Nothobranchius furzeri: one gene and its partner. The protein of the gene in region 1 purifies or fractionates together with the protein of each later gene. This does not show direct contact. Links are inferred from orthologs where the notes say so. Each region holds a gene or a part of one and is shown on either strand. Other genes may lie near its edges. The genes, in order: pole and mms19.

Evidence for each region.
Region 2: the proteins of pole (region 1) and mms19 purify together in Homo sapiens (affinity purification with western blotting; 3 studies listed by BioGRID and IntAct, with this or other methods). This does not show direct contact. The link is inferred for Nothobranchius furzeri from reciprocal best matches to the Homo sapiens genes POLE and MMS19.

Annotation. Positions count from the first base shown.
Region 1 is NC_091757.1:45,286,635-45,302,970, forward strand, and holds the start of pole (DNA polymerase epsilon catalytic subunit A), read right to left. Parts: upstream 10,955-16,336; 5' UTR 10,781-10,954; coding exon 10,713-10,780; intron 10,604-10,712; coding exon 10,474-10,603; intron 10,402-10,473; coding exon 10,321-10,401; intron 10,226-10,320; coding exon 10,181-10,225; intron 10,110-10,180; coding exon 10,017-10,109; intron 9,945-10,016; coding exon 9,790-9,944; intron 9,713-9,789; coding exon 9,568-9,712; intron 9,487-9,567; coding exon 9,406-9,486; intron 9,308-9,405; coding exon 9,200-9,307; intron 9,113-9,199; coding exon 9,002-9,112; intron 8,929-9,001; coding exon 8,843-8,928; intron 8,686-8,842; coding exon 8,566-8,685; intron 8,473-8,565; coding exon 8,340-8,472; intron 8,256-8,339; coding exon 8,142-8,255; intron 8,052-8,141; coding exon 7,839-8,051; intron 7,751-7,838; coding exon 7,643-7,750; intron 7,570-7,642; coding exon 7,441-7,569; intron 7,361-7,440; coding exon 7,258-7,360; intron 7,182-7,257; coding exon 7,035-7,181; intron 6,954-7,034; and 48 more. Other genes in the region: acacb (acetyl-CoA carboxylase), read left to right, coding at 13,570-14,093. UniProt on the Homo sapiens protein: Catalytic component of the DNA polymerase epsilon complex. Participates in chromosomal DNA replication.
Region 2 is NC_091756.1:28,161,955-28,178,190, forward strand, and holds part of mms19 (MMS19 nucleotide excision repair protein homolog), read right to left. Parts: intron 14,994-16,236; coding exon 14,893-14,993; intron 14,779-14,892; coding exon 14,693-14,778; intron 14,571-14,692; coding exon 14,496-14,570; intron 14,269-14,495; coding exon 14,199-14,268; intron 11,569-14,198; coding exon 11,440-11,568; intron 11,364-11,439; coding exon 11,302-11,363; intron 9,311-11,301; coding exon 9,224-9,310; intron 9,146-9,223; coding exon 9,071-9,145; intron 8,968-9,070; coding exon 8,890-8,967; intron 7,324-8,889; coding exon 7,185-7,323; intron 7,085-7,184; coding exon 6,930-7,084; intron 6,853-6,929; coding exon 6,774-6,852; intron 5,536-6,773; coding exon 5,410-5,535; intron 5,341-5,409; coding exon 5,259-5,340; intron 5,175-5,258; coding exon 5,077-5,174; intron 4,984-5,076; coding exon 4,840-4,983; intron 4,460-4,839; coding exon 4,304-4,459; intron 3,596-4,303; coding exon 3,496-3,595; intron 3,030-3,495; coding exon 2,927-3,029; intron 2,847-2,926; coding exon 2,769-2,846; and 5 more. UniProt on the Homo sapiens protein: Key component of the cytosolic iron-sulfur protein assembly (CIA) complex, a multiprotein complex that mediates the incorporation of iron-sulfur cluster into apoproteins specifically involved in DNA metabolism and genomic integrity.

The DNA of each region.
Region 1 (16,336 bases):
GCTGCCCTCCCGGTGGAGGGTAACTCTGAAGTGCCTTTTTTCCTCCACCTGACCCAATCCTCATATAAACCCTCTGATCTCTATTAAGGTAGCGCGACTCAGGTTGCGAATGACCACAGTCACCAATTCTTGTCATGTGTCTATGTATGAATGTCTGATCTCAGAATTGTGTGTACTGAAACTCTAATTTCCCTCTGGGATTAATAAAGGATCTTTGAATTGAATTTGAATTAAGAAGCCTCTTAAACTGCCTCTTTACCAGGAAGTGCGCTCAAGTCCCCAACGGCCTGCTGTGAAACCTGGCTGCCTCCGCGCCTCTTGACTGGCGTTGCTCCCGGAGCGTTACGTCTCAGCTCCTCTTTCATGCTGTGGTAAACGGCAGCGATGTAGGCTGCACGGGAGGAGCGGGACGGTAAATAATAACTCAGAAATGAATAAGAATGAATAACTTTTTATTATTTTACCTGAAACAATCATGAGGAAGTATTTCTGACAGGAAGCCGTTTGGGGAAGGTAATGCATGATGTTCCAGCTGCTCTCAATCAGCTCTTCCACCTCATCAGCCTCTCCATCTCCATCATCTTCCTCAGCGTTGTCCTCAGCCTCATCTTCACTCCCGTCCTCGTCTTCCTCTCCTTGTGTGATTTTCTTCTCTTTGGCGTTTTCCTAAAACCATAAAAACGGGAAAGTGTTTAGAGTACTTTAAGTGTTTTAGTTCAAACTCTATAAATAAACATTTTAAATAAACCTGGTTCATATGACACATTTTTATGCTTCCGATCCGTTTTTTTATTCTGCAAACTGAACTTTTAGATTGCGGTACCTCTCCATACAGAACGCTGGAAGGTAGTTTGCCCTTGACGCCGCCGTAGTTAGCTGGATCCATCCACAACAGGAAGTCCCAGCATCGGGAGAAGGAGATGGACAGGGAGTGGAAGATCTCCCTGGAATGTATGCTAGAAAGGAAACACAGGCGGGTGATTGATGAAAATGGATCAAACGCTTTGTGTCTAGCGTCCTTTCGATTTAAACTGGCCCCAGATCAGTTTTAGTATTTATTAATATTTATGATATACTGAATGGAAAACAGACATGTACTCGAGTAAGCCAAGAAATGCACCTAAATAAAGAAATCACAATAAAAACGTGTAATCTGGGGGGCAGAAATGTCTGACCTGTTGGTTATGTATTCTACGTAGGCAATGGCGTCGTCTATCCTCCTTTTCTTGGTGCACAGGATGATCCTGTTAAAGTTTCCATAAACCACAGTAGAGCCCAGACGTTTGAACTCTGCCACCAACCTGCCAGCGGAACAACAGCCAGATTATTACAGGAACAGAAGACAGCAGGATCAGGAGATCATTTAATCCCACAGTTCTTTTGGCTGCAAAATGTAACTTTTAAACAAAGCTTTTGAGCAGCAACTACATAAATGATGCCTCTGTGGTAAAATGGATGCTGCACTCACTGCAGGAACACCTTCTTCATCATGTTGTGCAGCGTGCGGTGCAGCGCCGGGTCGTAGAGGAGAGAGCTTGGGGAGCGGAGCCAGCGGTAGAAGTGCATCACCTGGTTGTCTGCGTACACGTTGTGGTACTGCGTGATCTCCCTGACCCACCCAACCACCATGCTCTTCAAGATCCTGCTCAGAGGAGATGAACACCACCGGGGGGGTTAAACCACAGGAGGAACATCTGTAAATGAATGCAGCTGAGAAGATGATCACACCTGAAGGTGTTGGAGCAGAGAGCCGTCTCATCATAGCTAGCCAAAGAGCTGGCGCTTTGGTTTCCTGACATCATGTCCTCCAACGACGCTTGCTGGATCACGTCAAAGCTCACGCCCAGACTGGCCCCGCCCTCCATGTCGTTGACATGCTGCGACTGGAGGATGGTGTTCACCGCCAGGCTCTGCAGATCCAGCTCCACGCACACTGGAGATGACACATACCAACATATATTCACACAGCAAAAGGAGCTCCAGAAACTCCTGGTTCCTGAGGTTTCCTGGTAGTTGGAGTACCTGTGGAATAACATCCTTGTGCGTTGATCTCCACGGACACCTGATCGTCGTTTTCTACGACCAGGCGGCTGTCGTCGGCCTCTTTCCCACCGAGGTCGGGCCTGGCTGTGGGTGAAAGCCACAGCAGATGGTTGTGTTTCCGTAGATGTCTCGCCAGGAACAAGTCGGAGCCAAAGATGGACACGTCCTGGGGCAAATTACCCACTGGCAGGTGGTAATACCTGAAAGGAGGAGTTCCTGGTAGCCACGCAGTAATATTAATTCCACTGAGGAGAAGGTGAGCTGGGCTTACCTGGCCATTTCAAAAGCCTGAGACAGGCAGCTGTCCAGGTTGAGGTAATGGCGGATCATGCGCCGGGCCCCGTGGCGTTGCCAGTCCAGCACATTGTAGCTGATCTCATCCACCACGTGCACCGGAACCACCGGGAACTCCTCGAGCACCGGCACGGCTGCTGCTAGCCGCTGCAGCTCCCAGTTGGACTGGACGGCAATGAGAGTGGGCCCACGTCGCTCCTCCTGAACGCAGCAAAGAGATAAATCAACATGGAGGAAAACAAGGAGATTACCTACCTGTAGGACAGTGAAAACATAGATGGGTTATGGTTATTTTATTAGTAAAACAGAATAAAAACACCAGAATTTGTGTCTTTTACTTTGTAGTTCAGCAGGATGCGCTGCACAGCACGAGAGATCGCCTTGATGTCGTTTTCAGCTCGAACCTCGAAGGTGTGTTTCTCTGGAGGTAGAAGCTCCTCCGTTGTCTTCTCCAGGAGGGCGGTGCGCTCTGCTGTGTAGAGGTTACTCAGGTTGGGCATCTGGTTGCTTCGCACCTGAAAATCACAAAGTTGCAACAAAAGGATGACACTCCGAAGCTCGTTCAGAAATAATCCAACAGCCCTGCCACAAGAGTTATCTTGCTCCGAATTAGCTAAAACCTGACTGTTTTGGTCCCCGTTACCACGGAGACACACATACGTGGCCTCAGACCAGTAGTAGAAGCATTGGATGCGAGTTTAGAACACATTCAGAAGCAGGTGAAGACAAAAACTGTGCTTCTTTTACCGTGTCCAAGATGAAGATGCTCGCTTTGCGCTGAGAGGGGATGAACAGCCCAAACAGAGCCTTCTGACCCTGGTTGTGATGATACAAGTACATGTGACGAATGCTTCCTAAGGAAAAGGCAAGCATGTGTGTTAGGATGGAGAAAATGTAAAACCAAGGCAATTGTCTCTGACTAATTCAAGATGAGGTTTTCTGCAGATCTCACCGGGTTCCAGGTAGCTGAACTGAGCCAGAGATCTCATCTCCAGATGTTCCAGATCAAAGGAATCCGTCTCTCTGCCGGCCAAATCTCTGACGATGTGTTTGTTTACCATGCACACGCAGCCGAGCTGCACCAGGGCACGAAACAACAGGGGGACCTGGGAAACAGGTGATGGAGTGAGGTTAATGAAGCCGAACTGGAAACATGGAGGTGGTGGAGTTTAAGGTCACCTGTGTTTCATAGACGCCTTCGATGTCGGGAGCCGAGAGGTCGGCGTTGATCTCGTTGATGTGCTTCTGGTACATTTCCTCTGGCACAGAGTACTCGTACAGGAAGTACACCATGTTGGAGCGCGGCAGCATGCGGTTCACCTGAAGTCACCGTTTGGGAATTAAACACAGTTTTGGATGAACTGAACTCGGTTTTCTCAGCCCGTACCTTTTTGAACGCCACTCCCTCTTCTTGTTTTGGGACTTTCTGGTTGACGTAGAAGACCCGCGGGATGTTGAGCTTCATGCAGTGAAGGTCGTTTCCGATCACAGCCCACAGCTTGTACAGACCAGGGTGACTCGTTTCTGCAATCTGAGACGTATCACAGTCATTTCCTTGAATTTTGTCCAACGATCACATCCAACGTTTGGATGTCACCGCCACGGTGACTTTGCTCTACCTGCACAACCTGCCAAGGCATGTCCAGGATGCTGCGAGCAGTTCTGCGGAGGAAGCTCCCCAGGCCGGTGGCGGAGCCACCTCGGATCACACCTCCTCCAACAGGTTGAGACTCTCCATCCAACAGCTTCCTCCTCTTCTTCTTCTCCTTCCTCTGTCTCAGCTGCAGCTCCCACTTCTTCTTGTGATAACGAAGCCAAACAAGATGCTCCTCCTGCACAAAAAGACACAGGTTGTTAAAATTAAACATCAAAATAAAACCTGAGATTAACAAAATCCCTGTGGGATTAAAATCTGCTGGAAATGCACCCGTGTTGTTCCCTTTGATGGAGGCGGTCCCAGGATTTCTCTCCATGACTGCGTGAGCTCAACGTCCTGAGACTCCACCTGACTGTCACTCCCCTGAGACGCCCGCTTACGCTTGGTGCTGATGGGAACGGCGGGCTGCGGGGGTCTAGCCGGCCTCCCAAAGTCCTCCATATCTGCTGTATGACCTGCCTCGAGAGGCTGGTGGGTCACCTGGGAGATGTAGAAACAGCAACACATGGGAGCTCTGCTCAGCGCTCACGATGCTGACTGATCAGCTGACCCTACCTGCTTCTTGCCCTCGCTGGTGAACAGCTCACTGATTTTTTTCTGCTTGTAGATGTCGTTTTTCTCCAGGAGCTTCTTGTGAAGCCAGTCAGGATGTCTGACTCTTGGAACTGGATTCTTCACCTGATGGTAAAAAGAAAAATTCAAACGAATCTATACATAAACTTGAGTTGCATTCAGAAAGTGGTCGATTTTTAAAAAAATGAGCTTTAACCTGTTGCAGAGCTGCAGGGATGGTGATGATCTTTTGGATCGCACTGCCCAACCTCTCGATGTAATAGCTCCAATCGAGGATCTGGAGTCACCCGGAGACAAGAATGTGTAAAAAAAAAATTGAATATATATATATATATATATGATGAGGTTTTATCTTTAACTGGAAAAAACATTATGACTCACCGTGCGGATGTCCAAGTCGTGCAGGCTGGGCATCTTCAACCACTTCCTGAGGAAATGCTTCTTGACGCTGGGCTCTGCCTGGAAGATGGCCAGAGGAATGGCCCTGATTGGGGAAATATGTAGATGTGATGGTGTCAGACCCAAAGCTTTTACTTCTGGTGGTAATGCAAAGAGACTATTCTCCAGAGAGACCCAAAGGAAAACAGCATAAATATATCAGATCAATCAAGAAATCTGCTTGAGCCCTCTGGCTTGACTTGTTCATCACAAAAGGTTTTCGTTAGAAATTTGATTCCTTCCGTGTTAAATGATAAAAATCCACCTTTCTGTTACGGGGGAACCCTCTGGTTTTCGGGAGATGACGTAGCGGCAGCTCAGACCAGCGTCTTTCACCATCTGGTCTCCCAGGAACTCTGCCAGCCTCTTGGCCGTGCTGATGGATGTAGACTTTTGCTCTCCATAGTCTTCCAGCTTCCTGGACATCGACCGATTCTCTGAAATCAAGTCAAACAGCTCTGCATCGGGCATGTTGGCAGCCTAAAAAACAAGCACAAAAAACATGACAAAAACAAAAACAGACTGAATCTTTTTTTGATTGAAGTGGGCACACTGGTTTTTAACACATCTGCGGTGGTCTCTAGTATATACAAATGGCTTGTGGGCCGATCTCTGGGGAGAAACTCCTGTTTCAGAAACTTAATCGAAGGAAAAATTCATTCACCTTGCTGTACAGCACATCCAGCCAGTAGTCGGCTACTTTGGCCACAGACGCGTACACTTCCTCCAGGGTGGTCCCTTTGAGGAAAGCCTCAAACACAGATGATTGGAAGATCTTGATGAGCTGGAGCTCCCCTCGTCTCTTCACTTCAAAACCTTTGAGCTCAGCCAGAGAGCCGTCCTCGTTAAACACGGCGTACCTGAAAAACAACACGGGGCGTCCTTAAAAGTGCCCTTTCAGCTTAAATATTTCATCACTTGTGTGGCAAACCTTTTCTTGAGCTTCTTCCCTTCCTCTTTGGAGGCAGGCAGGATCATGGCCAGGTACGGTCCGTCCACCTCGAAGAAGATGCTGTTCTCCGACCTGATGTTGTACACGAGAGACGCTGGCTCCACCAGCTCGTGGTACTGGTCGTTGGTGAACCCCTCCTTCACCATGATGTTCAGCATGGCCCCCGGGTAGGAAACGGTCACCTTGGGCTTCTTCTCGTTGCTGGTTTTCACCACAAAGTTCTCTGGGAAGGTGTTGGGGAGGACGCACCAGATACCGTCGGTGTCCAGCTCCAGAGGCCTCCTGAGTCAAAATTAGAAAGTGTGAGAAGAATTATTAGTTTTTTTCCCCTAAACTGCTAAATTACTTAAGATAGAAGCCTTTCTTAATGCCAAAATAAACCTTTGAGGTTACAGAATCACAATAAATTCAGATCTTTGAACGGGAGAAACGAGCGACGCCACTCACCCGATTTGCTCGATGAGTTCTCTGGCCTGAGTGATAATGTTGGCTCCAGTGTAGCACACAATGCCAGCCATCTCCATGGAGTACCAGCGAGCCCTGAGAGATAGACGAAGACAGCATCAGCCCCGCAGCGGCGAGAGAGGACGCGTGACGAAGCGACTCGTACCCTTTTCTCATGACGTAGCCGTAGAAAGAGTTCAGAATACACTTGTGAGCCAGCTGAAGGGAGTCGTACAGGATCTCCATGTTTTTGCAGCGCTTCACCTCGGCAGCATCTCCACATTCCTGTGCCACTGACAGCTTCTTCTTCCACACCTTCAACAGCAAACACGCACCAGAAGTGAACAAACAATGATTATGAAAGCAAAAGACTTTTTAAAATTATTTTTGGAAAACCAAAGCCTACTTTGTGAAGTCCTTTGAATTCGTAACGCCGATCCCTGAAGGCTCTGACCGTGTCAACATAGAAGGAGTTTTCTCGCTGACAGATGGTGGTGACGCGCTCCTCCAGCCTGGTGACGTGGATCTTCTTGTAGGCCTTCTTACAATAATCTAAAAAAAAACAAAGAAAACTGCAATTTACACATCTTAAAACCAAGATCTGCTTTAAGGGAACCCAAACAAAGACGGTACCCGCAAGACGCTTCTTCTCGTGTTTGGCCTGCTCCTCCCGGTTGAGTGTGTGGAAGGCCCTGGGGGCCCCGTTGGGGAACAGCGGGGGGAACTTCTCAGACTCCAGCTGCTGCTGGATGCGGTGAAACTCGCTGCGACTTGCAGGCACTGAAAACAAATAGATGTTTTTTTTTTATTTTATAAACCAACCCAAACCTGTTTTAGTGCAGAGTAACCAGCTCACTGATTTCTCCTCTCCACTGCCAGGTCATCCTCCTCTGGCAGGAGGCGCCGGGCTTGTTGAAGTCACAGGCAGCACACGTGGCCTCATCAACCATCGCCGACGGCTACAAACGATGAAGACGTTAAACCTGCTGCTGTTGAAAGAGTCTTGCGTCTGATTTGTGATTCTTTTAGTTTTTTTTACCTGCAGGCGGTTGGTGAGGATGATGTTGGGGTACATCGCCCCGACGTCCAGATGGTAGATGAGGGGGCACTCGATCCTATTGGGAACCTCCTTCAAGGAAGTCAGCTTCTTTTTGATTTCATCACACACCTGACAAAGCATCACAGTTACTCCATGATGGAAGTGTTGAGCTAAAAAGGGGGAGGGCGACAAGTTCACACACCTCATTAAAGTTAGTAACTTGCTCCAGAGAGACTTTCTCCTCCTCCTCGATGGCGTGACGCATTGTTTGCTCGACTCTTTGAAGCAGGAAGTCGAAGGCGGCTGGGTTCTGTCAAAGCATCAACCCAAAACGGTCAAGCTTCAAGCTCCTAAAGGTGATTTAGTAGAATTATCAGAGAAAAAAAAAGAGGATGTACCATTTTAAAACGACAGGGGATGTCGCTGCGAAACACTCCCGACTCCAGCGCCTCCACGTGGCCTCCCACGTAGGTCTCAGAGTCCATGACGTGTCCGTCGTCCGTCAGCTTGTTGAAGACTTGCTCCTGCTTGTTGGGGAACACGATGTTGACGTGGAAGGCCTGCACCATCAGCAAGGCCTCACACAGAGTCCCAGACCCTTTACGCAGCACCTGTTCACACAAGAGCAGCGAGAGACCATTTAGTTTACGGCTCTTTATCAGCAGATACGTCTTCTTTTACTACAAAAATCTGAGACGAACCTCATCAGGCTCCATGGGGATGATGGTACACAGCGCAAAGATGAAGGGGTGAACATATTTCATGTACAGGTAATACGTGGCCACGGCGTCAGACACAGAGTAGGTGGCTAAAGTCTGTGGGAAAAGAAAAACAAATGTATTTTTAACTGACTAATCTTTTCTTTTATAGGATTTAAAACTCAAATCTTGTTTCTGGACCTGTGGCTCCTCCGTTGCCATGCGACACATCTCCTCAGGGTCCAGCTCCACCGGGTCGTAGCCCAGTTTAGCCTTGGCTGCTGCCTTGAGATTGTGACTTCCCACAGGTAAGTAGCTGTCTCTCTTTACCCACCTGGTAAAAGTTGGAATGAACGCGTGAGAAAACAATTCCCATTAAAATAATCAGCACACCTTGTCAGTAGGTGGGAGTCAGAATCATCCCCACCTCAGGCAGTCCATGTGGATGGCTTGGCTGGACTTGTACTCCCCCTGGCTGTCCTTCTGGAAACCGATTTCCCTGTGCATGCTCAGGCCGTGGTGGGCAGCTCGGGTCTCGACAAAAGGCCTGAAGAGGACCAAAAACACCCTCACAAAATAGAAGTTTCTAATAAACTGCTATTTTTAAAATTAATCCTGGATATTTTATAAAGTTTTTCCCCATTAACAAAGAATAAACGTGATTTAAAAACTGGGCTGTGAGTTTTTAATTACAATCAGCTCACCAGTCAAAGAAGTCTCCGTTGTAGGTTACAAATATGTTTGGTTTGGTCTCCTGAACGTGATCAAACCACCTCTGAATGAGACCAGCCTGCAACCAGAAACACTTTAATGCAAAAGCACTTCATACGGTAATAATCAGCTGAATCTGCACAGGTCTAGACCTCATCGGCCTCATTAAAAACAGTGAAAGGCCCTTCGTATTCCGGTTTGGGAGTGAACTCAAAATCCTCAATGTTCTCAGAGACAATCTCTCTGTTTGTGATCAGGAACCCCTGAAGAAATAAAACACGAGTTGGCAAACTGACGCAAACACGATGAGGTAAAGGATAACTTTGCGAACGGCTCTGTGTTAAACCCACCTGTCCGTCTATCATGTAGGAAATCATCATGATCTGATCCGTCTCTGCGTCTGGGAACTTCAGAGGAAGTTTGGTTGTCTCGATGTCAAAAGCCAAAACAACCGGGTCCTAAATATCCAAAAAAAAAAATTTCAATAATACAAGACTTAATGTAATCAGTGAGAATAAATAATGTGTTTTCAAGACAAAAAACAAAATATACGTACCGGGCGCTCCACAAGATCCTCTCTGCGTACGATCTCTGGCGGGAATGCGCTGCCACGGTAACGAACGTTGTACCAGTGAGCCTGAATGAGGCAGAGATAGCACAGATTATTACAACATTTATGTAAATAATAATCCAAGGTTTTATTATAAAGTGTCCTCACCACATGAATCTTCAGGTCGATGGAGAGTCGGACGTGGTAGGGCACATCGTACTCTCTCATGTCCACTATGTTCTCCAGCTGATCCACAATACTTTTCGACATCCCATCATCATAAGCTGAGGTGACGTTGCCACCTGACAGAGCGCTAAAACAACAAAATCCAGAGAACACTAGGAACGTGATGCTTTCAGGAACCCAGCAGACACAACAGATCATTCCTACCTTGATAACATTGAGGTGTAGGAGTCGTTGGACTGCTCCCTCTCTCGGTTCTTCCTTACAGCCGGAGCGATCTCACGCTTCACTTTGATGAGATCATCAACGGTGTTGAACGACAGTTTGATGTAGTTTCTCTTCAGGCCCACTAGATGGTTTGGCTGCAGAAATTGAGAAGTAGATTTTTAGTGCGTTGTCAACAATGGATCCTCTGACTGCAAACTAAAACTGACCAGATCCAAGTCCTCTTTTGGAAGCATCTCGAGTTTTGCCACCTTTCCTTGGAACTTCTTGGATAAGTATGAAATGACTTCCCTTTCACAGTTCTGAAAAGAATAATTAAGTTCTATAGGAATCTGATAAAACGACTCAAAACCTGAATCAAAATCAGACTTACCTTTCTAGTAGCAATGTAAAAATAAGGCTTGAAAGGAAGTGCCACCTACAAGGAGTAAAGATCAGGAAGAGCATGTCAGGGCAGAATAAACATCAATCATTAATATGTCATCCAGCATGAGGCTTTTTAAATAAACCAACCTTGAATCTGCTTCCATCCTCTTGGATGAAGTAGTAGTCTACAGCACTGATCATCCTCCTGTCCTCATCTAGGATCTCCGTCTACAAACGCGAACAAACGCGTTAAATGTCTCCTGAGACAGAAACCTGGTAGACTTCAGAGTGTGGACTCACAGGGTGCATGTTGATCAGCCAGCCTGTTTTCTCCCCGGGCTCCTTCATCCTCTCGAAGCCGAAACGAGCGTCCATGTCGTCAGTGAACTGGCTGCGCTCGAGCCGCTTGACGGCCGACGAGCCATCATCCCTGGTTCAGACAAGCAGCTACATTAGCTCTTCGTCTCATTTTGGAACACGCTGAAGTACTTCCACAGACACAATTACATCTAATAAACAGAAATTACAAGCGAACTTACTGGTTATCCACATCTGCTCCACTTTGTCCACGGTCCGCCCTGTACCGTCCGCTGTTTTGCAAAACCATCCTCTGATTCAGTTTTTCAGCTGCAACACCGTCATATATGTTTAAACAACCATTTGCTTCGCCGTAGGCGTCTAAATTATATATTAATATTAGTATTTTAAAGCGTTGGTCGTTCTCTGACAGCGTAGCCGACCGGATTTGTGTTTTCTGGATTTCGCGCGTTCCTGCAACTGCCGCGAGACCAGAGCAGAGCCGGAAGAACAAAGATCGTTTGTGAACAAAGATAAACACCCGCGCACTCTGATACGATCGCCGCACAACAACAAAATTAACAAAATACGTTTTAGTTAGGTTAACTTTCCAGCATAGCTACGAATTGATCTACTTGTAAGGTTAAATTGTGTGTTTTATCAGTAAATTTCAACACTGAAAAGGTCAAAGTTGCACTCCTCATCATGTAAACACAAACACACAAACTCTGGCAGTGTGCAAAAAACCATTAACTTTGTTTCCATTTATTGTAACCCACGTGTCTTTTATGGAACTCAAAAGTATTCAAAATTCAATATACAAATAAGACATTATGTATTAAAAATCTACATGAAGAAATACTAGACGATCATGTAATCTGACAATGAAATGAAATAACGGATTATGTAAAATCTAAGCTCAATATTATGAAATATTTTTCATTCTTTTACCATTCTGTTATTTCATCATTTTATTGTCAGATTACATGATTGTCTAGTATTTCTTCATGCAGATATTATTTATGTATTGAATTTTGAATACTTTTGAGTTCCATATACTAACTTCATGTAGCATTCATCACTTCCGTTTTTCTTCAGCTTGAAACTACACATTTAGAGGGTTGGTATTTTTTTTTTTTTTTTTACATATTTGATCTTTGATGGTTTCTGGGAGGAGCTTGAGAGGCTCCTCCCTCTTACGTGAACGTGTTTACTATCGCACTCGAGAGGAGAGGGTGCTGGTAGCGGTGAAAGAATAACACCGTCTGGTCTGGTGGTAGGTACTTTTGAAATTTGCTGCCTTGGAAATATATGAAACGGTTTATCGGCCACCATCGCAGCGTTTAGTTGCATGAGGAAATGCGTTTTCAATCCGACAAACACAGAGCCTTATGTGAACATATGTGACAGTTATTCCCTTGACTTGTGAAAACAGCGACCATATGGTCTTATTTTTGGAACGATGACTGTAAAGTGATCCGAATTTAGAGTTTAACAGACCTCACTGGAACCATTTACACCCATTCATCTGACAACTTGACCTTTAAATGGCCTTGTTTTCAAATTAGGATCAGAAAATATAAGGAAAAAGAAAAATTGGAAGGAAAAACACCTTCCTGCTAAATTTACAGATAAGGGACCAGATTGTGAATATGTAAATATGGGTCAGCATGTTGTTGATGAAAATCGATTGTCTGCCATGTTTTTGTACATTTAGCTGTTGGTTGATGTCAGCATGGAGCTGAAAAGTAGTTTTATTTATTTTTTTGTGTGAAGTCAACAGTAAATGTGTCAGATACTGTTAATTGCATTCTTTTTTTAAACAATATGGCACAAAATAGAATAAAAAGTTGCACTCTGATGAAGACATTTCCTCTTAAGACGTGCTTCTTATTGAATGCCACTTACACAGGAAACACATTATAATTAATATTTCAATTAGAAATGTAGTAGAAAAGGCAAACTTTCACCATTGATTTCACAATAATTAGTTTATTATTTATCATCTTTATTTGGATAAATTCAGACTTTAGTGGGTGGTGTTTTTGCCCTTCTTTTAGTTTAAACTACCTTCTCTCCCATCGTTGACCTTTAGCCCACATTGAGTAGCCACACTTAGCTCTGATGTCAGCTGTTTCAAGCAGCCTGTTTACTGGATCCTGCCTGGGAAATAACTCCTGTTGTGTTCTGCTGGCTCACAGAGTAGCATAACTTTGCAGATTAAAACTAATACCATGCAAGTTATTAGTTTTTGGACCATTATGACAATGATGACTTTCTTTGTTACCCCTAATGCTCACGTCTCCCGAAACCTTCTGACCTCTGATCACTGTAGCAAAAGCTTTTCAAGATTACAATGGCAAACAGACATGAATAACACTGATTTTAGGTTTCTTAGTTCACTGAATTCAAGGACAAGGCCATAGCAGCGGTAAAAATAAGTTTTGCATGTCTTTTTTTATGAATGTTGTGCTGTCTTTTATGGTTTAAAAGGGACATATTATACTAAACTCATCTTTTGAATCTTTTTGTGCTCCCATGTGGATCTCTACTGCCTCTATAAGCACTCAAAACATGAAAAATACCTGTCCATTGCTTTTCTCAGTGTTTGGTTTCAAGCATCATGTGCCTAAAGCAAGCCATTTCAAAAAGTTCCCATTTGTGATGTCACAAACGGAGAAAGTAGAACCACCTCTCACATGCAAGAGAGATCTACTGCCTAGCTCCTCCTGGATATCGAAGCTTCTCAGCTCATAGCAGACTGAGTGGAGAGGGGTGGGCGTAGCCAGCTCCCGCTTGTTTTCTTAAAGTGACAGCACCCTGAAATGGCACATTTTGGCAGGTACTGAAACTGTCAGGAACAAAACTGCTGAAATTGCTTTATGTGAGAGGGATTTTGTACAAAGAACTTCATAAACATGTTTTGTATCGACCATAGAACTATTATAACACAAGAATTAAAGTTTAGATTTTTACTTTAATCAATAAGCCAATCGGTCAATCCTTTTAAGAATGTTCATTTTGGGCGAGAACTTTCACGTGCTGCATGAATAACTGTGTCCACGTGTTTTTGTTGCAGTCTCAGGACGATGTCTGCAGATGCTCCAGTTTGCAGTGTTGGGATTAATCCTGTGGATGTTAACACTCCTGTGGAGAATTAATACCAAGACAGCAATGCCTGTGAAAGGAGAGGAATCCTTCTCTGGCTGCAGTCCCCAGGCGGCTGAGGAGAACAAGTCCACTTCAAAGACCCATCCTCGTGCAGACAAACATTCCCTGTCAACAGCTGCTGTAAAATCATATCTCAATGAAAACAACAATCTCCTGGCCAACATTAAGTCTGATCCTTCGCAGGCCTCCTCTAAGGTACATTCAAGGCAGCCATTGCGGCCACAGTCCACCCAGAAACCCATCAGAACCACTACACCCATGCTCAGCTCAGAACCCGAGGCGAGGAAGCGCCTCAAGTTTATCCTCGGAGCATCAGAGGATAACTCCTCAGACGAGGAAGTGCTGGTAACAAAACCTCCAAGCGGTTCCTCTCAGCCTCCGGTTTCTGGCTCTAAACCCTCCAGTGAGCTGGAGTTCTCTGGGGTGTCACCATCCAGCTCCTCAGTCATCAAGTAAGACTTTGTTTCTATTTCAGTCAATTTAATTTCCATCCTCTGGGGACAGGCCTGTTTTATTTTGCTCTGTCATGTGCCTTCATGTTGGCTAAAGGCCCTTGCAGCTTGTGGTAAGGTGCTGCCGCTCCTCTCCTGTTCAGACCATGTGTTATCGTGTCACCTGACAGCTCTGAGTTGTGCTATTGTCGCCTGCCAGAAATCTTGGCTCTAATATTGGAACAAGAGCTTTAAGCTGTCACTCTGAAACTGGTGTTGACCCAACTGACTCAGGTCACATCACAGTAAACAGACGGGATAAGATTTTGTTTTTTATTTGTAGAAGTTGTGTACTATGCACTGGATGGAAGATCTTTTATACGACGGAGGATCAGAGGAGATGGCTGCTTATGGCTGTGTGCTCTGTTGGACATTTTTACTCAATGTTTTTAGCTAATCGTGTTAGCAGAGCTTGTGGGAATCATCATGAGGGAGACAAAGGTAGGAAATGTCTCATCTCTAGAGATCAGTGTCACTCTGGCTTGTGTACTCTGTCCTCACTGGATGTTATTTCCTCCTTTTGAACTTTCTCCGTCCACTTCTACTGCCCGCTCCTGTCTGACCCCTTAACTGCTCAAAGTCTAATTGCTTGCACATTCTAAGGAAAACCAATTCTGTGTCATCTAATCTCCGTTTAATCTGGCAGTGAATCCTGATTTCCATTCCAACCAATAGCTGGATTTCAACAGAGTTGCATTTGTGCGCGGTGCAGGGTGAAACACTGGCCTTTTATTAAAGAGTGCCCCGGTGAGCTGTTCCTCCTGGGAACAGCTCCTCCTCCTCCTCCTCCTCTTTGTGCATCAAGGTTATTTAAAATGTTTTGACTCCATCCTACTTAACTAATCTCCACATTCACACCAGTAAGAACCCTTATCTACCACATCAATAGATCTGCAGAGGTCCACATTAAGGAAAAAGGAGATCTGGCTTTTGCAAAGGCTGCCTTAAATTGATTTTACTGGACTGAGATCTGGAGATTGTGGAGGTCGCTGAAGCCCAGTGAACCCCTCGACATGTTCAAGAAACCAGTTAGACGTGATCTGACCTTTATGAGATGCTGCTAGCCTATAGCCATTCTATATATGTAAATATATAGTCTAGCCACGAGCAATTGAAACGACTTGGTGCTTGGGCAGAATCTACGGTTGTCTTTCAAACAGTCTCAGCACGCAAATGGATAGTGCTAGGATCAATCGACGCGATAAACAATGTGAGGTGTTCATCTTGACAGCAATCAGTCAACTGGGCAGTCCACCACAGTGAAAGAAAAAGATGAAGAAGCCAATGCATCATTTTTTGAAATAAACAACTTAAGTATCTCTATCTGCTATTGTGTCAAAGAAAGGTCTGAGTCGAAATCGGCTAAAGTCTATTCTAAAGCCTATTCAGACCAACGCTGTTCCTGAGCTGATGCCATCTTTGTAGTCTTTCTCTTTTTTTTTTTTTTTTTTACCGTGTCCTGTCTGGCTGTGAAGCAAGCAGAATTGATGTCTGAATGCTGGTGACAAGCCTTACAGATTTATTCTCAGGTGGAGCATCAAAGCGTTTGCTTTTAATGTCACGCCTGATACTTAAAACTTTATTGTTATTGTTGCTGAATGCTTTGTAATTCCGACCAGACACGGAGACAGAGGTGAAAGAGAAAGGAAAAGAAAAGGTGGGGAGAGAGAGAGAGAGAGAGGGGGGGGGGGGTCCACAAAAATAAACAATAATGAACAAGAGTCTGCTTCTAGACCTGCAGAAAAAAAGACAAAAAAAAAACAAAGGGACACAAAAAAGGGACACAACAACAATACAACAAGATCTACCTCTCACTGCGTCAACTTGATGAAAAGAAAAAAATATATATATAATCAACATTGCTTAACTGAAGAATCACGATAATAAATCACAACATATTAAGGGCCCACCATAGTCTTAAGACCTGTGTTTAACATGCCCAAGCCCATACTTTTGAGAGCACCATGTGAGCACCTGTGTGTACACGCGCTTGTTTATTTAAGGTTTTTCTATAGGAGCGCCCAACAGAGAGTGTGAGGGACCACAGATCTGCCCCCCAAAGATGCGCAGGAGACGGGGGAGCTCCAAGTCCCAGAGATCCAGGCGCTGCCCCAGAACGCAGGAACCCCAAGGAGACTGCAACCAGGAAGGCCCCCGCCCCCCTCGAGAGTCTTTCTTTGATGCAGCTCTAGTGTTAAGCCCGC
Region 2 (16,236 bases), on another chromosome or scaffold:
GCTCACACTGTTACGTCTGGTAGCAACACGTCGGACCTAAAAATATGCTAAAAATAGCAGTTTTTACACAACACATCAGACTGTTTTGTCTTGTTTTGCCTGTTGTCCTTTGGGAGTGCTGCAGGAGGACACACAGGGATTTATGGGGGTTGGATGAGGAAAACGAAATAAAGAAAGTAAATCTGTGTTTTGTGATCAGTTTAATTTGACATGAACACGACAAACACGCTTTCTTGACAATCTTTGTCAATGTGTGTAAAAAAGACGTTTAGAAATAAAAACAAACAACGTGTTTATTAGGGAAATAGCGGGCGAGCGGTGTTGATGCAGGATTGCGCATGCGCCGTGAGCGGTTCTGGTACTTTTTGGGTCGCAGCCGCTCGCTGCGCTGCTTCAACCCTCAGGAGGAACGAGCAAAATATCAAACACTCCAGAAGTCCGTGCGAGCTCACGATTGCTGATCGGTAGCTGGTCACGTGTGTTAATCGCCTCTCGTAACCCCCTGTACACGACACGACGCTCAGCGCAAAACTCGCCCCGATCTTGTGGATTCCTGCACGAGTGGAGAATCGGCTCAAAAAAGTAAAAAAGTCACACAGCGTACGCCCGGCTTAAGGTCTCTTCATTGGGCTGCAGACGAACTCACACCTGCCCGCTGACATTCCTGAACAAGTCTTACAACTGTAACGTGAGGAAATATGGGTTTTCTATCACAAAGGTGGTGTTGGACTCAGCTGTGTCAAAGCTGGGTCGCTGAGAACTTTCACCCACAGATTAAGACCTGAACGCCAGTGAGTCTGGGAGGAAACCATAACATCAACCACCTGCAGTCTACCAGAAGATGTGTTTACATGAGTTGTACCCAGACCAAGTCAAAACATAAAGTTTAAACTTCTTTTTCTTGATTTTAATGTTAAAAATAACCATTATCATTTTGCTCATTATAAATGTATTTAATCAAATGAATGGTTCTTATGCTTTGGGGTAATTATAATGGATTAATGAATCCACACTTAAGTAGATAATGTTGAATGTTTGGTACTGACCTTCACACTCAAGCACACAAACATCCACACACACCTTCCCACAGTAAAATCCAGACACATTTGATGACGCACATGTTTTTGCTTTGAGAAGAGAGGTTTTTGGTAAGTTTCAGTCTTTTTTGAGTCAGTTGGTGTTGGACAACGAGAGAGAACAGACCTGAAAACCAAAGGGGGGGCAGAGCCTGTTGGCTCGTTCTTCCCCCCTTTCACGCTGTTTCTGCCACGCCAGGCAGAATAGCTGAATCGCAACTTCTAACGCAGACTCATTACCGAGTCTTTTGATTTCTGAGTGAATTAACTTAAGAAAGCGCGTCGACAAAACGCTTTACCATCAACGTGTACCGAGGGCAACTCTGGACCGGGTCGCAGCGCATCTTTGTCTTTTCTGCCAGCCAAGGTGCCCTGGATGAAACATCCTAAGGTGACGCCCCGGATCCGAAAGAGGGTCCAAAAGAATTCGGTGAGACAGAACACGGTGTTTAGCGTTTTGATGCATCTTTTCCAACTAAGAGCCTAAGTTTATTCAAACCATCACTTTTCACTCAGACACCTGGTTCTTCCTGAAGCAAAATCAGATGCACTCACGCACCCATCCCAGCTCATATCACTCTCACCATCACAACATTCTCAATCTTCATAAATTCATCAGAAGGTCTATTTGAGCCAGAACAGCATATCAACTGTTAAAGAGATTGTCCCACAAAGTTACTAATGTTGATTGTATTTCCTGTTTGTCAATTTCAAAATCATTAGTTTAATTTGAAGAATTAAAACTTTTAAACGTCAAACTGGTTTCCTCATTGAACTGAAACACAGACACTCAGATATTATCGGCAGTTTATGGATGAAAACAACCTTTGAGTCTTCTGAACAATATAAAATTTGGTTATTGATTTATTAAAATTAATATTCCGAATTAATACGTAGCATGGTTCCTCTTTCATAAAAGAGCATAAAACCACAACGCTACACAACAACAAGGTGGTTGTCCAACCCTGCAGCTGGATAAACTTTACAGGTCCAGGAGCTACTGGACTTTCCTCGTCTCCATGAAGCCTTCTTCACAAATCCAGAGGAAACGTTGTTTTTCCGGACCAAGTTCATTTTCATAACCAACTTTCTAACAATTATAATTCAGAACTGAACAAAAACTGGAACCAGCTGTAAAAACTAGAATGGATGTGAACAGGAGTGCAGTTACTCACTAGACTCTGTGATAAAACAATTTCCCTGGATTCAAAGTAAATAAATGGGCAAATAGTTGTAAAGGCTTGAAGAACTAGAAGTTAAAAATGAGAAATAAAGGTGATTATTACCCAGGTCATGAGGGTGAAGGCCTGAATGCGCACAGGAGAGGAGGTGCAGCCCAACTCACTACACACTCGTTTCATTGTTGTCTGAATCAGGTCGTCTAGGGAGTTACCTGCAGATCAGACATCACAACCTTTAACTTAAAGAGGTGTGCTACAGGTGCAGAAAATGTGACCGGACCATGAACACACAGACACACCCAGAGGCCTCTTGTTGATCAGGCCTGCGAAGCACTTGGCAGCAGATGTGTAGGACAGCAGGTGGCTGCAGCTGCAGCTCAGCTCCTCCAGCTGGAACAGCAACCTCTCCATTTGGGGCACCTCCACCTGAACGTAACGCGTCCATTTCAGAACAGCAAACTTCAAACCCCAACTCAGAGTTATCTGAACTAACATCAGGACTGAGACTCACACTGCGAGGTAAGGAACACACACATGCCATGAGCAGACAAACCAGCTGAGACCGACTCCATGACTCTTCCTGCTGCTTCTGGGGAAAAACATCAACACCTCCTTAACCATACACCTTTGTAATAATGGAGAAAAAAAAAACAACACACGGAAACACACCGTGAGAAGCTGAATGTGTGAGGGGAAGGAATTATCAGGCAGAAAGGAGACGTCGCCATCCAGGAAGAGAGACACCGCCCTCGCCGCCGTCTGTCCTGCCAACCTGGAGACATGAAACCACCCGACAGGAAACCACATGGGACTTCACTTTCTAAAGCAGACTGCACAAACAAATCAAAGGCACTGACAAAACTAGAGCAGAGAAATTATATCAGTGATTATGATCGGCAAATGAGAAACACAACAGATTAAAGCTTCTACGGCCGGATATGTCTGTTCAAATAACTCAGATTAGTTCAAATAAAGACCCTTTTCACCATTAATGTCAAACCATTTTAAAAAAGGAAAATCAGCTAGAGAATTTTCCAGGTGGGAGGGTGAAGCTTGGTTGGGAGGTGGAGGGATCTGTGATCCATTACAAGCTAAAACAATAGACATAGACAGCTGAAATAACAGGTAAATGTATGCTTAATAGTTGTGTCATTCAGAAAATGACATGAGGAGCAACATCTGATGTTATTAAGCGTGTCTGACACATCGACCACCCCTCTGATGGAGTTTGTACTGACTTGGGCTGCAGCCGGGAGCAGGAAGTGCTGATGACAGGAACCAGCGCAGACAGAAACACCTCCTCGGTCAGGGGACTTCGATGACCAGACGACCCCTCATCTACAAAGTACAGCGTGTTCATTTTACATGATGATCTCCTACTTTAAAGACCAAGTTCACTCATTTTTCTATATTTCTATACTCATTACTTCTGTGGGTCAATCTCTGTGGGGAAAAAAGCTCTGGTGCGCCTGTTTCAGGAACTAGGAGTGAACCACGTCAAAGCTGAGCTTCAAACAGGATTTAGTCTCATTTCCTGAAACTTGGACATCTCACCTCTGATTGGCCAGCAGCAATGCAACTCTGCCACTGACTCTGTTTGCTTTGAAATGTTGACGTTTTACCTCCACAAATAACACATGCCTGAAGGAGTTCTGCCATGAGGTGGAGTTGCTAATGCTAATGGTTAGCTTCTACTAGCCAAGACATGCTCTACTTTCTCCAGGGTGCTAAACCAACAACAGCCTTCCCCGTCAGGAGCCAAAATGGATGAGTCCATGAATGCTAATTTGCCATTATGACGTGTAATCAACTGGCTTTTCTAATCTGAGTGTCTCTCTGTCCATTTTCTATTGGCAGCTACTCCAGGGGGAAAAAAGCTACAAGACTATTTTCCCGTTTAGCTTGCATGTTAAACTCAGAATGACAGATCATATTTAAAAAGATGACAAGTAAAAACAGGGATCTTGGCGTTTGCAGTTTTATAAAAGATAATAATAATATTGGTGGACTTTAAATGTCTTTAGGAAGAATTTAAAGTTTATTTACTCTGCAGCGCAGCCTGGAGAGCTAAAGACAGTAGGCGTGGGATGATGTTATCATGGAAACATCGCCCCGTCTCCTCAGTGTCCTGAACCTGCTCGGCTATCCTCTGAAGGCTGCGGCACGCCAGAACCACCTCGTCCACAGAGAAACGAGCCCCATCTGAAAGCAACAACATGATCCTGATTATCAGATGGTTTTTTTGGTTTTTCAGAGACACGCTGAGAAAATGTTGTGTGTTAAAAACACCAGTCTGGTAAACATAAATACAGATCCATTAGAGCAGGGGTCCCCAATCCTGGTCCTGGAGGGCCGGTATCCTGCATGTTTTAGTTTGAACTCTGTTTCAACACACCTGATTTCAATCAGCAGCTAATTAACAGGCTTCTGCAGAGCCTGATGAGCTGCTGAACAGGTGTTTCAACCACTGAATCAAGTCTGTTGGAGCAGAAAAACCACAAAACCTGCTGGATACCGGCCCTCCACGACCGGGATTGGGGACCCCTGCATTAGAGGATAGAAAACGCCTACAGACAGATTACCTGTGTGTGCTGAACTGAGGACCTGCAGGAGGACAGGTGTACTCTCAAAGACCACACTGGGTTGGAGGGACACGGCAGCCAGAGCAGACAAACAACGTTGGCGCATTGCATGATGGGAATTCATCTCTGAATTTTCTCTGGGATCTTGAACAAAGGAGATGAAAAAGTGTATTATAATCAACAGAAAATGTAAGAAAATTTCTAATTTATTTTTTCCGATTTCTTGACATTGCTCACCAGAAAACATCTCCTCCTTCAGCTTTGGGATCAGTTTAGTGATGAGGGCTGCAGGATGCAGCTCTGCTAAAGCTCCAGCACACTCAACAACAGCAGAACTGGAAGTAGAAACATAACCAAAACAGGATCAAGTAAACAAAAAAAAACACCAAGGCATTAAAATTTGCCCAACGGGAGTTGACCTGACACTCTCGTCCTCCTCGGTCAGCAACAGTCTGGTCAGGTGATCTACAGCCAGACCAACATCTGAGTCTAACAGCAGGCCTGAGCAACAGGAAGGAAACATTTCAGACTCCTGATCAGCCCAGATAGTCAGATATGAAAGGGTCCTACCTTTATGTTGTATCAGTGAGGTGAGAACGGTGGTAGCAGTGATCTGCAGACTGGAATTACTCTCGGAGAGAGCAGAAAACACCATGCTGCAAAGAGCAGCTCTGTACGCTGACAGCACACTCTCATCTACAAACACCAGAGATGGGTACAAGTTATGTGCATCTTTATACAGACCACTAGCCATGGACGTAATCTGGGGGGGGGGGGGGGGGGGGGGGGAGATGGGCCCCCCCCCCCCCCCCACTTTTTCCAAAGTCAAGTTTTGACCCCTGCACTTTTTACCATCCAAAAATATTATATATATATATATTATATTAAATTGACACTGGTTGAGCTCTAGGACCAAGCGGAAAACAACCGTTTGTGTTGAAGCCTGTTTCCCATTAGAGCATACTGTAGATACACTCCCCCGTGTCCCCCCACCTCTAAAGTGAAAATTACATCCATGCCACTGGTGTGAGATGGCTGAGCCTGATCATGCGATTTAAGTCCCATCAATCCCTGGAAGATGTCCATGTTTCTGAACTGATTTAAATATAAGAACAGATTTTGTTCATTTTAACACTAAAAGGTTTTTAACACGCTAAACCATTGCTTTCAAACTGGTTGCAGTGGTACTTTAGCCACAAACTTCAGCCACATCACATCAGACAGCCTTCTGCTGACCAGAACCAGCAGAACCCGTTTAATGGGTCAGGCTGGAACACTAGTGGGAGGTCTCTATCTGCCGTTATGGCAATAACAGTTTACTGTTGGCATCATGGAGGACCCTGAAAGTAAAAGTAAGAGAGCAAAAATGTCTTTGGAGCTGAAGCAAAGAGCTAAAACCAGAGTGAACTTTGGTGCAGCCTACGCTAGTCTGAGGGAGCTAAAGGAGGCTACGACATCACGGACTGATGGTGACCTGGCTTTGTTGCTAATGGACTTGTAAATCATAATATTTTTTGTCCAACAGGGTGGATCTTTTACTTTGTGGCTCACTTAGTGTTAGCTCGTTGTTGCAGCAGGGTTGACTAGTGCATCCAAAACTGATCCTCCTTTATGGGAGCGAGCAGTAACTCTTCAGTTACTTGATCAACATTATTGCTCAGATCTTTCTCCACAATTACAGCTCTATTGGAGATGCACTCTTTTTGGGTCTGTACAAATACATCGATTTGACAATAAAAAGGTGGGAGGGGTGGAAATATGCCTGAATAATAATCACACTGCAATCCTCTGACCTATAATCAAAGTGAATCACGAGGTGCTGAAAGAGTAAATCTAGTGATTACTTTGTGAAAATTCAAGAGTCTTATCAGTGTTTGTTATTTGAATGAAATAAACTCGGTTTCAACTTTAAATCAGAGGAATGATGAACTCACCGGTATCTGAAGACGTGTTTGTTTTCACTGACTTGATGAATCGTTGCACCACTTCCAACAACGTACGTCTATGAGAACACTGTTAAGAGAAGCTTATGACTCAGTAACCATGACAACAGCAAAGCTCTACACATGACTACGGATTCTCGGTCTGACCTGTGTTCTGCTGTTGTACTGCTCGATGAGAGAGGGCATGACAGCAGCTGTTATGATGTGGCTCGCCCTGTTGGAGGCGCTGCAGGCAGCCTGTAGCAGCTTGGCACTGGGCCATACCAGCTTCAGGTCGGGCTCGCACAGATGATGTTTACAGTCTGGGAAAATGTCACAAAGATGTTTGCACTGCTGTTAATTAGACGGTTTTAATGAAACCCTGCCTGTAAAAGGAGCCTTCGTTTTAAAGAACTGGTTCACCTGTTAGAACCAGATCCAGGAGGGTGATGAGGGTGTCTTCAGAATCAGAGTTCACCACTGAGCGAGACAGACAGGAAGTGAGTGCGGTGAGAGCGGTGAGGGCTGCTGACTCGATCTTCTCACTGGATGTCTGAAACACCTGCAGGCAGGAAACGGAGACGGGGCTGTACTGAGAGCACACACACCAGTGAAGAGGCTGGGTTTCACAGTAACGTCTCTATTTAGCCCCATTCCCACCTGTACCGGGTCGGCCCGGGCCGGGTAGCCCCAGTCGGCCCCAGCCTGGCCCGGTTGATTCCACACATCCTTGCCTTAAGCCCATGTGGGCTGATTCTACCCACCAATCAGAGGCTTGCTCTAATGGAAGGTGTGAATTTGCTGTCAGCAGTGGGCGTGTTGGCCCTGGTCGGCCTGAAGCAGTACCCCTCGGGAAGAGGGCCGAGAATGAGCCTTGGTTGGCCCGGGAAAATTCCAGGCCACCCAGATATGTAAACAACCTATGCTACCCGGCCCGGGCCGACCCGGTACAGGTGGGAATGGGGCTTTTGTTTCTGTTTATGAAATTTTATAATTTTATGTTTTCTGATGTCAATCTATTTCTGTTTTGAGATCATTATGATTTTATGACTTTGTTTTATGTGAAGCACACTTTGTGTTTCTATGTCTGTGATGAGTGCTATATATAAAAAAAATGTACTTACTTACTATTTATGGCACAGTCTGGTTTAGGGCTGGGCAATTTGGCCTAAAATCAACATCACCATATATCGTCACGTGCATTATGTTGAGTCACATTTTTACATGACTCAAGGTGGTACAGCATCTTAAAGGGACATTGCCAACCTACACACACCTTTTTCATTTTTTATTATCATTATTATTGTGGAAAAAACGATCATGATAAAAGTCGAAATTTTGATAATGATAAATATTGAATTTATTGCCCAGCCCCCGTCTGGTTGGATGGCAGCGTGAAAAATCATCTAAAACTCAATTTTGTGTTTACTCAGGTTGTCTTTGACACTGAAATGTGTTTGCTGATCTGAAACTTTTATGTGGGACAAAAAGGGAAAAAAAATAAATATGTGAGAGGTTAAATTATAGTTTTTGCAGCATTGAATGGGTGGAAAAAAAGGGTTGTTCACCGGGCCTTTCCACCAGACGTGTAAGCGTCACGCAACGTCAGCGAAGTGTAGTACGAAGCAATTAGCCGCTGTTATAGTGGATGGGTGTTTCCACCGGCCGCAAAGCGTCCCAGAAATGCTGTGAATACTTCAATTTTTTTTATACACTACGCTTCCAGAACATGTCAAGCTCAGCAGTTCAGATCGGGTCAGACAGGAAGTTGAACAAAAGCAGGGTAAAACATCCAGAAACTTTCAAAATAAAAGTCACTTGCAGATTTTCAGTTGATCAACTAGTAAAAGTACGTCATTACCTGTAACACCTCCAAAGCTGAGGCAAACAGGAAATAAACCACAGACCTTTTCGGATACATGCTGCCATCTATCTGAAATCTAATGTGTGGTTTTGCAATTTCCGGTCCTTCAGTGACTTTGCGGACCATTTGTGTGGAGCTCTTTTGCTGCTGTTTGCACCTGAAACACTCCCAGTAGGAAAGGTGCTCATGGCTAAAATGGTTATGCATCCATTGGAAAGCCAGGGTTAAACTAAAACGGCTCAAACTTTGTAAAACACTACAGACCTCTCTGCGCAGTGACGTCCACAGTCCCTGGAGGAATTCAGCCAAGTCTCTGTGATCATATTTTGACCCGCAAGCAGCCTGAAACAGATCAAATATAAAGAGATGACAAATCATCATAAAAGTCACATTTCATCTTACTTTAGCTTATTCTTCTCTAAGCTGCGGCTGTAGTCAGTCTCACAAGAGTCTGCAGTGAATCCAGCTTTGCACTCTGAATGTCCGAGTCCATCTTCTCAATGATGAGTGGCAACAGAAACTGGAAATGGACAAGAACATTTTTAGATCCTGAAATTGTACCATAATGAATAATCGTCATGTCACGATACCGCCCCACCTCTGCAAAGCTGGGAGTCCCTGTGAGGACGGTCCTCAGAGCCAGAATTAGCTCCTCTTTGGTGATGCCATGGGGGTCGTTGGGGGGCTGGAGAGGGTGAGAGGTGGTCACAAGAAGAGAGAGGAAAAAAACAAGATAATTTACAGGAAATTAAACCCAAGAAAAGCTTAAACAAGTGGTGATAAAATGTCAAATACAATCAGATGAACCAAAATGATTCACTTATTACGAATCTACTGAATATCTGAAACTAGTGTGTAGGATTTGTTTTGGCTCGTGCTCTGCTAAAGCTTCAGAGACTGGAATGCAAGTCTCTTTAAATGACGGATAATTTTCTGATTGTTTGGAGCCCCTGAAGAAAAAAAGATGAGTGCTCCCATCAGTCCTGTGTCCTCCAACAGTAAAGAATCCTGAGAGCAATCGCGTGTGTGTGAGGCTCTTTGACTCTAAACTAGTGATGCACAGATATGAACATTTTTGGGCCGATACCGATATCCAATATTAAGATCACTGCTATGGCCAATAACCGATATTTGCAGATGCAGAAATACTGACATTAATGCTTCTAAAATCAGTAATTTTGTATAAAACGAAAATTATTAAAGCCAAATTTACATTATTATGTACACACACCACACACATTTATGGTTCTGAGATGATTTCATTCACTGTTCACATGACTAAACATAGACACATCACCCCCTCACCCTCTGAAACAGGCAAACAAATGAAGACAAGATGGAAAAAATATTGGTCGTTAATATCGGCCCGGTTTTATTTATCAAACCGATACAGATATGTTAAAAAATGACTAAAATCGGCCGATACCGACATTGATGCCGATATATTGTCCATCCCTACGCTAAACGGTTTAGTTTTTTGCTCCAGAGTCGGTCTGTTCTGCCAACATCAGTGATGGTAAATGGCCTGTATTTGATATAGCACCTTCTAGAGTCCTGGAACCCCCTACGTTTGCCGACAGGGACGAGGAAATTCAGCACATTACTCCTGTGCTGGCATTGTTACACTGGCTTCCTGTGGTCTATTGAACGTCCTTTGCTTTGTCTTCTGGTCTCTATATGGTGGTGCTCCACCATACTTTGCAGCATTATTAACACGTCACACCCCTTCACGATCTCTACGCTCGGCTGAGCTGGAGCTACTGACTGTTCCTCAATCCCGGTACAGATCTAGATGAGATCGGGCTTTCTCGGTCTTGGCTCCATCCCTCTGGAATGAGTTGCCACTTGGCATCAAACAGTCACCCTCACCTGTTGTCTTCAAGAGTCAAATACAGGCCAGGAGTCACGTGAAGGCTCATGTTTATCGTTTGGCTTTTATGTGACTTGTTTTTATTTTTCTTATCCTTCTCTGATGTATATATAATAGGGCTGGGCAATAAATAAAAAATGTATCGTTATCTAAATTTCTGACTCTTATCGAGATAATTGTTCCCATGTCAATAAATTTGATAATAAGAAATTAAAAGATGTATGTAGGTTGGCAGCGTTAATGTACCTTTAAGACGCTGCACCACCTTGAGTCATGTAAAAATGTGACTCAACTAAAACACGCCACAGCTCCATCTAGTGGACAACTTTTGTTTCTGCGCATACCTGTAGTTATCGTCCATTTATCGTTATCGAGGTGAAATCCTCTATGTGGCATAGAGTATATATACATATATTAACATATATATGTGTGTGTGTGTTCCATCATGCTTTTATGTTTGTATGTGGTTTTTAGGACTTTTTATCAATCTGTTTTTATTTTAATCTATGTCATGGTCAGTGCCTTGGGCTTCCGCAGAGGCAGTGGAGGGCGCTCTATAAATAGATTGATTGAAGGTGCTTTACAACGCAATCAGTCATTCATCCATTCACACACACATTCACACCCTGGTGGGGATGAGCTACGATGTAGCCACAGCTACCCTGGGGCGCATTGACAGACGAGGCTGCCATACACTGGCGCCACCGGTCCCTCCGACCACCACCAGCAGGCAAGGGGGGTTAAGTGTCTTGCCTGACAGCAACAAACTGTGATGAGCTCAACCAGCTGAGTGAACAGGAACTTACAGGGGTGAAGTCTATGGGGAAGTAGCAGGACGTCACTTCGAACAGCTCCTCTGTGAATTTACCTGATTGGGAAAGTAAAAAGGTGAAACAGTGACAATAAAAGAGGAACAGAGGATGGTGCGGTGAGAAGATCCTCACCTAGACTGTATCCTCCCAGAATGATGTTGTTGGCTATCTGGAAGGCTAACAGGAGGTTGCGGGGATCCCTCTCTCCGTCCATTGACTGGACAAATCCAAAAACAAAGTCGGCTCCCAAACCTTTCAGCTCTGATGGAACGTCAAGCAGAAAAAAGCCACTTTGATTAAGCTTTTTAAAAAGGACATATAATGTCCCATTGTGGACAGCTTACTGAACAGCCTCTGTTCAGAGAAACAGTTCAAATCTGACAAGACTGATGGGCTAACAGCTAGTCTAATTGCAGCCAAGACTAAAGCGTGTTTCTCGTGTTAACGCCGCCATCAATCATTACATTAGTGCTGTAAAATATTGTTATTTAAAGTTTAACTATAACCAAATGCAGAAATCTATTCATATTCCTGCAGAAATTCACAGAAGCTTAAATGTTTATAAAATATTGCTGCATGAGCTCCAGAGACTTCAGTCAATTTATGTTACAAAATTTTGTTACAGAAATATTTTTGTTTTATAAAACACAAATAATACAACAAAAAACATCACATATAACTTGTGGGTTTAGCTCCCAGGAAACAGCTGAGAACGTTTTGGCTAGTAGAAGCTAACTATTAGCATTAGGAACTCCACCAGACAGCAGAACTCCTCCAGGCTTGTGCTATTTGTGGAGATGAAACATTACCATTGTAGAGCAGAGTCAGTGGTAGAGATGTGTTGCTGTTATCCAATCAGATGTGAGATGACAAATATCAGGAAATAAGAGTCTAAATCTTGTCGTCTGAAGCTATTTTCTCCATCAGCTGAATTCTCTGTGATACACTGTAGAGTAAAGAGCTCTGGAGTCCTCTGACTCTGAAAGGAGCTACACAAGTGTGGATTATTTATCAGAACCACCCAGGACTGTTCAAAATCCCCATGAGGGCTACAAATAGCCTGTGTGTCCCACTTTGGACACCACTGACATAAACCTTATTTACATTCGTAGGCCTGTCTCTACATCCATTCATGATTACGGTTGGGCAACGTTTGAATTTGAACAATTCCGATTCTAATTCCTTGTTTCAATTCTGGTTCCTAAAGATTTCCGATTCTGATTCTTTCAAGTGGTAGGATCCAAAAAACTACATGTTTTAAATGAGCCAGCTAACCACAGGGTTTACTTGATGAAATAATCTGAATTTCGACATGAATTTTAATTCTATGAACAACAACATCACCTTCATTTAGGCAAAAGCATGTTTTCAAGAAAGAAACAAAAAGACTTGAAACACAATCCGTGTGTTTGTTTCTGACCACAACCAAAGTCTGGGAACTGAAGACGCCTCAGGCTAAATGTCTCCAACATAACCAGAAAGTTCCAGCTGCTTTCACCTAAACCTCTCAGGATGATCATGTCCAGGGTGACCGAGTTCACACCAGCCTGCTGCAGCAGCATTCAGTCAGAAGGGAAACTGGAACTTAAACGTAGCTGCTGTCCAAACTAATCTAACAGATGTAAACAACAAAACTCTCCAAAGACTAAATAGTTCAAAAAAGAAAAAAATCTCACAACTTTGCATTTTGTGAGATATTTTTATTATTATCTTTATTTATTTATTATCCCTACCGGCTTCTATTGGCCAGAACCGGGTGTGGTCCACCACAGGGAAAGCTGCTCTAGCATGATGACTAATTATTTTACAGCTTATTGTTCAGCCTTCTGACGCTCACGCTCACACGGACGAGTGTTGGTGAGCGGCTGCGTTTGACTGCTGACGCTCCGTGTGTTTTTATTTCTGCAGTGAGACAAACTCACCTCACACCGCCCGGTTTGTTCTTTAAAACTTGTATTAAATTGACTGTACCGATGCGTTTTAACGAGCTTCCACTGCGCCGTACTTTTTTCTGAGGAATTAAAGTTTACATCACGCAGTAAAAGTTCAGCAGACTGTTGTTTACAGGGAGGAGGGACACGATGCTGCTCTCAGGGTCTCTGTGGGCTGCAGAGTAGGACCGCTGGTGTGATCAGCTCTGAAAGGTGTTGAGCAGAATTTGCAGAACATGTTTTTTTTTTTCGCCACAGATTCTTCTTCTAGTCTAGTCTGCAAATCAAAACTAGGAATCAAAATGTTAAAAACTGAATGAATCTGGGAAAAACTGACAGCTAGTCCCAGCTCCAACCGATGCTTGATGCACAACACTAATCATGAGAACTTTTTATTGCTCCGTAGGGTCACAGGGTGCTGGTGTCTAACTCCATGGAGTGAGAGGTGAGGGACACCCTGGACAGGGTCTCCTTTACAGAGAAACACAGAGAAAAACTCTGTGTCTCATCTAGGGACAGTTCAGAGTCTTCCATCAACCCAGCCTAGATGTTTTTGGTCTGTGGGAGGAAACCAGAGCACCCGGAGAAAACCCACACCTGCACAGAGGGAACACGCCAACTCCCTGCAGAAAGGCTGCAGCTGGGATTTGAACCTGCACTGCAGAGCAACCAACTGCACCACCAAGCATCCTGACATACCTTCTATTATATAAACTATAAGCACAATGAAGCACTTAGATAGTGAGGTCTAAGCAACATCAGAACCTAACTGTTTGAAAATGGCTTCAGCTCCCCCCTCTGATTGTTTCATAGCTTTACTCCAAACGCAACGCTTTTAGAAGTACACACACTCAAACTTCTATTGTTGCAAACCCTGCCGATAATTCTAAACTCCCTTACGTTACAGAAAACATGCTTTCAGCATTTCCTCATAGGTGATCCAGCTCTCCCTTTTCTTACCTGCTTCTCTCGTCTCCATGAGGTTGATGAGCATGTTGTAGACGCAGCCTCTCTCTGTGAGCATCAACGACTGCAGGTGGGAGACAAACTGAGGTGAGCTCGCAGCAACAATGGCAACACTTAAAATGACCTAACAACACATTTAGTAAGAAGGAACAGCATTATGGTCAGGAGTTACGCTGGTACCTGAGGTCACCTTAAAGAGTGAGGTGAAATTTAACAACACCCAAACTGGGAAGCTTGTGTGAAACATTACATAAATGCTGATACTGTTGTGCAACAGTGTGTGAGCCTCACCTGAACATGAACGTCCTGAAACACAGACCTGAGCATCGAGACGGCAGAGCCAGGAGGCAGTGCTGTGCATTTTGTCTGGGACAAACAAAAACACACACTTAACAGACCAAAAATTCTGCAACTCCTTCTGATCTAAATGAATTGATTAAAGCCAGGCAGGTCTTTGGCTACTGCAAATCTACTTCAGATGGACTTACCAATGCCTGAAGTCCCCGTAAAACAGGCGGCGTGACGACGTGATGGTCCTTCAGACGGTTTTCATAGAAGGCAATCAGCACCTCCACTGAGGGGGTGAGAAAAGTGATCAATCTTTCCTTCTATTCTCCCATTCCTAATATTCCTAATTACCAGCAGTGTGCTTTATGTGAGCGAGAGGACGACGTCATAAGAGGGGTACCTTCTCTCTCTGTGAGATCTGCATAGTTCTCCTGTAAAACGTCTGAGAGTAGCTGGACTCCTCGCGCGCGAGTGTGAGGCTGAGAACTCGTCAGGCTTCCACTACAACAGGAACAGAAACAAAACATTAATTCAGCTGAGCTGATAACGGAGCATAAGGCCAAGTAATGTAGTTTCAGTCAGCGAGCTAGATTTAGAAAAGTACAGCCTATTGTTGTGTACTGCTAGCAAAAGTGTACATGCTAGAGATCGTGTTAATGACTAAAGATTAGGAACACAAACCAGTCAGACATTTGAAAGCGACTGGTTAATATCATCATTTAGAAACGCTGTGCAAAAGTTTGTGCCTCCTAACAGATTTCATATGTTTATGCTTTTTTGTCTCACATACACATTACAGATCACCAAACACATCCCAGTAACACACCAAAACCATTTATTAAAATATATATATATACATATAACTCAATGACCCGTCTCACATTTATTTAAAAAAACTAACATCTGGATGATATTTGGGAAAGTATTCCTTAGACTGATGAAACAAAAAAGAGCTTTCTGGAAGGTGCGTCCCGTTCCATCTGGAATAAAACTAACCCTAAACATCATATAACCATCAGATAGTTGAACCTCGGATTCAGGAACAACAATGTGGTTTTTGTCGTGGCTGTGGAACGCCGGACCAGCTCTATACCCTTAGGGGGTCCTGGAGGGTGTGTGGGAGTTCGTCCAACCAATCTATGTGTGTTTTGTGGATTTGGAGAAGTAGTCTGACCGCGTCTCTCAGGGCGTCTTTTATCTTTCTTTTTTTTTTTTTTTTTGCACCGAGTACCACAGCAATTTCCTAATGTTGTGATTCTCGCACATATGGATATAAAGCCCTTCTGATTCTGATAACTTTTATGGACAGGAATTCTAGCTGCAGCCGAGTGTGAAGAAGCTGAGATGAGAATCAGTTCTTCTAAATCTGAGACCATGGTCTTGAGTCAGAGTGGAATGCCTTCTGCGGGTCGGGGTAGAGGTCATGCCCCAAGTGGAGGAATTTAAGTATCTCAGGGTCTTGTTCACAAGATGGAGCGTGAGACTGATAGGTGGATTGGTGCTGCATCTGTAGTGATGCGGGCGTTGTACCTAAGAGAGAGCTTAGCCGGAAGACAAAGCTCTCAATTGACCGGATGATATAAGTTCCTACTCTCACCTATGGTCACTCACGAGAGAAAGAATGAGACTGCAGATACAAATAGTTGAAATGAGTTTCCTCCACAGAGTGTCTGGGCTCTCCCTTAAAGTGACAATGTGTAGTTTACCTGGCGATAGGGGGCAGTACATACCTAAATGATTGCAA